Canis lupus familiaris: one gene and its partner. The protein of the gene in region 2 interacts with the protein of the main gene of each other region in a pairwise test. Links are inferred from orthologs where the notes say so. Each region holds a gene or a part of one and is shown on either strand. Other genes may lie near its edges.

Region 1 (3,816 bases), on a different chromosome or scaffold from region 2:
GGTAGGGGCCGAAGTCCAGGCCAGGGTCGGGGCTGAGGTCAGGGTCGGGGCCCGCGTGGGGGCAGGGCCCGGAGCCGCACCAGCAGGTGCAGCGGCCTGGGGGCCGGGCCTGGGCCGGGGGCCGGGGCAGCCGGCGCGGCCACTGAAGTGGGGTCCGGGCTGGTCCTGGTCCTGGGGTAACCCCAGCTTCTCCAGCGCCTCCCGGCGCGCCCTCCTCTGCTCCTGCAGCGAGGTGGCGGCGGGGCCGGAGTCTCCGGGGCCGCCGTCGGGGTGGCGGGACAGCCAGTTCTGGGGCTCACCATGGAGCCCGCTCCGACTGCTCTTCAGGACAATATTGGGGGGCAGCTTCCGGGGCTTGGGGGCCAGGAGTGGGGCCAGCCGGGCACCGGGGTCCGCGCCCGCGGGGCTGGCAGCATCATGGGCTCTCGCAGCCTGGGACCCCAGGGTGGGGGGAGGCGCGGGGCCGCCCTCCTGGGGCTCCTGCCACATGGCCTTTGTCGCCGGGGGGCTGAGGGCCCGTGGCCCCGGGTGGCCGTCACGGGAGGCCCCGCCTGCCTGAGTCTCAGCGCCTGGGCCCGCCGGCCGGTGCTCAGGCTCCCCGGGGCCGCTGGTGGGCCGGCTGCTCCTCCCGAGGTCCTGGCCACTGCCGATGCGGATATTTCTGGGGAGGCTATAGGAGCCAGACCTGGGGCCCAGGCCCTGGGGCTCAGGCAGGCGGGGCGGCCCGGCCGGGGGCCCTCTCCTGGGCTCTGGGCCGCGGGGCGCGCTCCTCTCCGCTGGGTGTCCTGCGAGGGTCGGGAGAACAAGCACAGAAGAGTGGGTGCAGTGAGAACCCCCTGCCCAGGGCAGACACATCCTTCCTGAGCTCCCACCTCGCCTTAGCCGCGGGGTGTGCGCTTTGCGGAGCCTCTGCTCTCTAAGGGGCCCCCTGTTGCCTGGATATCACTTACACGGGCAGATGGACACTAGCCGACTCCCTACAACCAAGGATTAATTTTTCATGGCGGTTGGGGCGGTTGGGGAAGGAGCAGCTGCACAGAACTCCGTCCTGGCCTCGGGCTCCTCCCAGCCCTCTACAGAAACACGGGGCGGGGGTGGGGGGGGCGGGGACTCAGCACAGCCCGCTAGCTATCCTGGGGCGCCCCAGGTCACTGAGTCCTGGGGAAACTGAACGCGAATAGCACCAACAGCTGACATGCTCTTGCTGTGACCAGACTTGCCTTCCTCCGCCTTCACTTTCTTTTCTTTTTTTTTTTTTTAAGATTTTATTTATTTATTTTTCATGAGAGACATGCACAGAGAGAGAGAGAGGCAGAGACACAGGCACAGGGAGAAGCAAGGCTCCGTGCAGGGAGCCCGATACGGGACTCGATCCCGGATCCCAGGATGACAGCCTGAGCCAAAGGCAGATGCTCAACCACTGAGCCACCCGGGTGTCCCCCCACCTTCACTTTCTATGAGCACCTGAATGGCTCTGTGATGGCCACAGCTGTCCCCACACTGGAGAGTGACTTGGGCTCTTTTTTTCCAGCAAGCGAGGCAGGTGCCTCGGGCCCCCTGGGCCAGGGAATCAGTCTCAGGAAGCAGTGGCGTCCTCGTCCCCACTTACTGGCCTATGTCCACGGAGGGCCTAACACACTGTCGGGACGCCTGGACTGTCTCCTTCTGCCTGTGTCCCTGTCTCTCTCTCTCTCAGTCTGTGTCTCTCATGAATAAATAAATAAATCTTAAAAAAAAAAAAAAGACACACACATTGTCAATCAATGTTTGCTAAATGAATGAATAAATGGTCGTAGTCGCTGTACCAGCGGGCTGTCCTCAGGAGTCAAGTGCCCGCCTCACTCTGGGACATATGATCCCACAGTCACAGCCACACGTGTGTACCATCCTGTCCCCTTCTCCTGAGCCTCAGTACCACGGGCTCTGCACACTCCCTCACAAGAGCCGCGAGGTACCACCCACTGAGGCTAAGGGAGCCCTTCCCTCCTATCTCTTGCAACCTCCTTCTTCTGGATCATCCAGATTAGCTCTCCAGAATCACTCAGTGTCCCCAGAGCAACACCCACCCCTCCCTGCCTCCCTCCCCCACCTCTGTGGTCAAGTCTCTTCAGAATGTCTCTGGGAGAGAGTGGGAGCTGGTCAAACCCTCCCAGGCCTCTGACCATTCACAGGAAGCCAGAGAAGCTGGCCTGTGAGCAGTCCCTCGTCCTCCTCCCCAGGACAAGGCCTCATCCCAGCCGGGAGGGAGCGGGAGAGGAGGCCCTTGCTCCCTCTCAGCCCACGGCCCTGAGAGCAGAGGCTGCCCGGGCCTCCGGGTTTGCTAGAGGCGCTCCCCCAGCCGGGCCTCTCTTACCCTGGGGGGCAGGCTGGGCTGCGGGCGGCGCTCGGGGGGCTCGGGGAGCTGCGTCTTGCTCAGACTCGTCCGTGGACAGCCCGCTGTCAGCCTCAGCGTCCAGTGAGCCGATGGTCTCCTCCAGGAAGAGCAGACACTCTTTCTCTTCAGCGGACAGGAAGTCGTAGCTGCTGTCGCTCTGGAATGAGGCGTGGAGGACCGAGAGGATGAGGGACTGTGAGAGGGAGCTCCCCTGAAACTGGTGGGGCCCGAGAACCACCCTGCGTCCTGAAGGAATGCTGAAGAGCTGGAAACCTTTCCAGGAGGCTTCTCCGCAGACTGTGCAAACTGTGCGGGAGTTGCCTCCTGAAACCGCAGGCCCGGACGGGCGCAGGGATGCGGGGCCGAGGGCCCACGGGCACCCATCGTGGGGCAGCCAGGTGGCAGTTGACCTTTCTTGGCTCAGTCCTGGGTGGAAGGCTTGGGGGAACAGATCAGAAGCGGTCCCAGGTTCTAATTCCAATTCCTCTGTGTGAGGAATTGCCAAGCATTTCACGTTGTGTGTCTCCGATTTAGCTCTAAATTACACGGACAACAGAATGATTTGACCTTAAACTTGAACGGTATTGTTTTTAACTTTCAAAGTACTTTTGCATACGCGACTGGTATGTCAAGGACGGTATGAGGGACAAACAAGAAACTGTGGCCAACCACCGGCCGGCAGGGCAATGGGAACTGTGGTATGAGTAGCCACAGATAAATTTACTAAATAATGTACACTTGACTTTGCAATGCATTCCATGCAGGATTTTTTCCTTTGTGTATTTGCTCTCTTGATGGCATTCGGTGCTGGCTAACATTCAAATAAGTGTGCATTTCTTAAGCAAATATTAACTTGAGGAGGGGAGGGGAGAGAAACTGGACGGGTGTGGGAGGAGGAGAGGGCAACATGGTGTGAAATATCAAGTAGATTTTAAAGTAGATAATTGTCATGATGAAAAAACACAGAGGGATGTTTGGGAAAGAGTGTTATGGCCACTTCCAATGGTTACTGCTTGTGTCCTATGAGGCCAGCAAGATCCACAGAAGAGTCCCTCTCTAAAGTTGAAAGTTGAAGGGAAAACCAAAAAGGCAAATGGAAATGTAAGAGATTTGGCCTGAGTCCCTTCTTGGCATGTATCTCCACCCTCTTCCTAATATTTGAGATACTTCAGAGTTACATATTCTCCAGACCCACTCAGATGGCCTGGGAAGATTTTGAGATGGCCCTAAATATATCCTAGGAGATGGTTGTTGGAATAACCCTACCAGCTCCCCTGGCTCCTTAAGGAGCCACCTGTCTGTTGACAAGAGTGAAAATTCCATGTTTAAGGAAGCCTCAGACATACCCTTGGGAACCCTGAAGTCGATTCCAAGGGTTCCCTGAACAAAATCTTCTTTACTGCCCTTTTCTTCCTCAAGTAGCCAAGGATAAGCCAACCCTG
Region 2 (4,296 bases):
TACAGGTCAACTGATGATGAATTCTTTCAACTTTTGTGTGTCTGAGAAAATCATTTCACCTTCACTTTAAAAGGAAAATGTTTTTTGAGATAAAATTCACAATGCATGAAGTAACCATAAACCATTTTAAAGTGTATAGCATTTGTTACATTCACAGTGTTTTGTAAACATCGTATCTGTCTAGTTCCAAGCTTTTTTCATTATTGTAAATCTGCTTTCATTTTTGCAGAAATTTTTCTGGGTAGAGAATTTTTGATGAGGTTTTTTTTTTTTCCTTTCTTTATTTTTAAGATGTTTTTCTGTCTCCTGGTTGATAGTGTTTCTGATGAGAAGTCCGCTGTCAAATATTTTTTCCATCCCTCCCATCTTTGAGGACTTCAGGTGCCATTTATGTGTCTGTTTCTGTTGATTGATTTTTGCGCTGATAGTATTTTTAAGTGTTAGATATTTAGAATTTGTTGATTAGGTGCTGAATTTTTGTATTTTTAAAATATTCATTAGAGGATCTAATGAAAGAAGTAGGATTTTTTTTTAATATTTATATGGTGATAATTGCATATGGTGATAATGCTTGTCTTAGAGGAAGTAGAAAATAGTGTATTAACATGACATAACAAAAGTCTATAACTTAAGAGATTTTGAGTTGGTTACTGTGTTATTCAGAAGTAAAGAAAAAGGAAATTTAAGTTTTCATTACAAACACCATTCACTTCTTTGGAAATAGTGAAAGTCATGGGCTTTGGATTTAGTCTTGCATTTGAATCCCAGAAATACCAGCACTAGCTGTGACCTAGCTTTGTGTTAAACTCCCCCCTCCTCCAATAAGTCTTTTTTTTTTTTTTTTTTACTCTTTTTATCTCTTAATGTTGTTTTGAGATGAAAATGAGTGTGTATGTGTGTATACATATATATATATATATATGTTAATATAAGGTGTTTACATGTAATAGGAATTCAACAAAATGTTGTGTTTTCACTTCAGCCCATCCTTCAACTGTTTCATTTTTGCAACAATACTACTTCTGGATAACACATTGATTTGAAGTTTGGTGAAATGGGGAGAATAATAGTCACTACTCAACTATACTTGTTATTCTTAAGCAATTACTGTAACTCTTCCCATAGCAATAATTTGTTATTCCTGAGCTTTAATTTTTATCAAATTACACTCAGTTGAAGATACCCAGTTGGTAAACAAATTGCCCAAAAGTGCTTTAATATTTTCAAAATTGCTTCTATTAAGATTTTATGCTGTTTTTCAGGAATTCTTCCCATACTGAGTCAACCTATTATTTGAGGAATAAAATCAGAAATTTATTTTTAATAGAATTTAGAATAAACTAATTCTGTAAATGGAGAGTTAATAGATTTTAACCGGATGAAGATTTGTACCATAGTCCTTAATCCATGGTTTCACTTTCAGTGGTTTTAGTTACCAGCAATCAACTGTAGTCTTGAAGCAGATGTGATGAGATGAAGGTCCATAGTAGCCTAACACTATGTCACAGTACCTACAACATTCACCTCACTTCATCTCATCACATAGGATTTTATCATTTCACATCATTACAAAAAGGGTGAGTACAGTATATTTTTTTGTGATAGACCATACATCAAACTTTTTTACAGCATTTTCTCTTTTATTATTAGTTATTATTAATCTCTTACTGTGCCTAAGTTATAAATTAAACATACACACACACACACACACACTCACACACACATACACACACACACACACACGGAAAAACAATATATAGGATTTGGTACTATCTTTGGTTTCAGGCATCCAGTGAGGGTCTTGAAACACTTCTTGCAGATAAGGGGAGGACTACTGTGTCATCTGTTATCATGTTAGTCTCCTATGTCTGCTGTAGCAAAACAAAGTTGGTGGCTTATAACAACATGGATTTATTTTGTTAAGATTCTAGATGTCAGAAGTCCAAAGCCTGTTTTACTGAGGGTGAAATCAAGGTGTCAGCAGGGCTGTAGTCTTTCAGGAGGCTCTAGGGGAAAATGGTTTCCTCCCCTTTTTTACCCTCTAGAGTTAAACTCCTTGCATTCACAGTTCATGGCCTCTTCCTCCAACTATAAAACCAGCAGTGTATGCATCTTCCAGTCTCTCCCTCTCCTCCCTTTGTCACATAACCTTCTTCTGGAGTTAAATCTCCTGCTGCCACTTTCTTATAAGGACACTTGTGATTACATTTAGGGCTCATCCAGATAATCCAGAAGAATCTTTCCATCTGAAGAGCCTTAACTTAATCATAGCTGTGAAGTTCTTTTGCAAAATAAAGTAACATTCGCAGATTTTAGTGTTAGGACCTCCATATCATTGGGGGCATTATTCAGCCTTCCACAGTCTTTGAAAGGGGATATCAATAAATCCTATTTTTCAAATGTTAGTGTTTTTATGCCATCCTATATTTCAAAGCCTGTTGGCTTACTGAAGTCTGTTAACTTCTCTTTTCTGTTGACTATTTTCAATTTTACCTGGTAAAGTATGTTTTTTCTGCCTATGTCAACAAATATTTAGTTGTGATGATTCACAAGAAAAACTGTCTTAAAAGTCACATCACCGGGGAGCCTACGTGTGGCAATTGAGCCTCCGATTCTTGGTTTCAGCTCAGGTCATGATGTCTCAGGGTTATGGGATCGCATGGGCTCCCTGCTTAGTGGAGAGTTCGCTTCTCTCACCCTCTGCCTGTCCCCCTGCTCATGCTCTGTCTCTCAAATCCTTTTTTTTTTTTTAATTCACATCATTTTTAGGGAATTTATAAGTGGTTTCTAAAGTAGTTCTTACAACCCATTTTGCAGAACTTGTTCTTATGGAATTTAGCCTTTCTGATTATGTATGTGTGAATTCTGTAATAGCTCAGATGGCTCTTATTGGAAGTATACACAACTTCCCCACAGTACAACTAGCTAGGGACTTAATTTTTAAAACTGAAAGGGAACATTTCCCTGGAACAACACCTTTACCCAAGGTGAAATATTCAGTGAAATGCTAGAAGGATTAAATCTTTAGTAGATGTTTTTGCCACAAAAAAGAAACCAAGATAGGGAAAACAATGGGAAGAAAGTAGAAAGTATTTTTGCACATGTACAGCTCCTAGTTTGTTAAAATATACATTTTCTTCCTATCATGTAATCCTTTTCAGAAATACCATATGTGATGAAATTTAGCCAGTGTCTGAAACAGATAGGAGATAATTTGGAGTTCATAACTTCTAGTCTCAAAGACCAGTGCTTTCCCCTCACACAGGCTAACATTATTATTGTTGTTGTTGTTGTTATTGTTACTGTGATCTGTTACAGAGGTGGAACCATTCTGTCAAAATACAGATTAGAGAGTTATGTTTCCTTGCAGAAGGAAAGCTCAAGAACTATGATAATTGAGATGACTAAAAATAAGTTATTGAATCCTTCCAAACTACACTGTCATTCCAATGAAGTCTTAAAGTACAAATTGCTTTCAAAATACAAGTAAAACATAAATGATACCAGTGAACATACATACATTCCATGAAAACAAATACTCCCAACAGTGCTTAACATGCACAGTAACCATAGTTGTGTAGCATACTATCCCACTTCTGTCAACAAAATTAGAGGGAAGGGCCATGCAAACATTTGGTTACAGCGTGAACTCATGACAAAAGAATTATTTTCCCATCCAAGGAGTCACTATAGGGTAAAGTTGGGCACTCCAGAGCTAAATTATATTTGTGTGCCAGCTCTACCAAGTGTTATCTTGAGCAAATACCACTCCATATACCTTAGGTTCCTCATCTTCAAGAGAGGAATAATAGTACCTCATAAAGGCTGAGAGGATTCAGTAACACAGGGATAGCAGTTACAACAGTGTCTGACCCTATGTTTAGCCTTCAAAAATGTTAACTATAACCAAAGAATTTGCCATATACGCATTTATAAGTTTAAGCTTTTGCTTTCAGGTTTGAGTGGCATATCTGAATTTCTCATTTTGAATTATCCAATCTATGGCTTTCCTCCTTCGGCATAAATGATGGAAGCCGTAATTTGTGTGCTCATTAATTGATACAAGAGAAATTGTTGAGAGTTCACATCATACCAAGTGCAAAAGGTTAAAAACTGTCAACTTTTTTGTCACTGACTTTTTAAAATTCAAAAGCTAGTTTTTAAGCTACTCAGTTTTTATGATATTAAATCTGTAAGCTTTCGATTTATACAGAGAATTTCCACTTATTATCAAAAAATCAAGAAAATGGTAAAGCAGGACAGTTGAAAATAGTGTTGAAAAGAAGCAGATGAATA

Evidence for each region.
Region 1: the proteins of HOMER1 (region 2) and C7H1orf116 interact in binary tests that used the Homo sapiens proteins (3 or more experiments, as listed by UniProt). The link is inferred for Canis lupus familiaris from reciprocal best matches to the Homo sapiens genes HOMER1 and C1orf116.

Annotation. Positions count from the first base shown.
Region 1 is NC_049228.1:5,926,773-5,930,588, forward strand, and holds part of C7H1orf116 (specifically androgen-regulated gene protein), read right to left. Parts: intron 2,532-3,816; coding exon 2,354-2,531; intron 786-2,353; coding exon 1-785. UniProt on the Homo sapiens protein: Putative androgen-specific receptor.
Region 2 is NC_049224.1:27,542,514-27,546,809, forward strand, and holds the start of HOMER1 (homer protein homolog 1), read left to right. Parts: upstream 1-1,458; 5' UTR 1,459-1,473; coding exon 1,474-1,577; intron 1,578-4,296. UniProt on the Homo sapiens protein: Postsynaptic density scaffolding protein. Binds and cross-links cytoplasmic regions of GRM1, GRM5, ITPR1, DNM3, RYR1, RYR2, SHANK1 and SHANK3.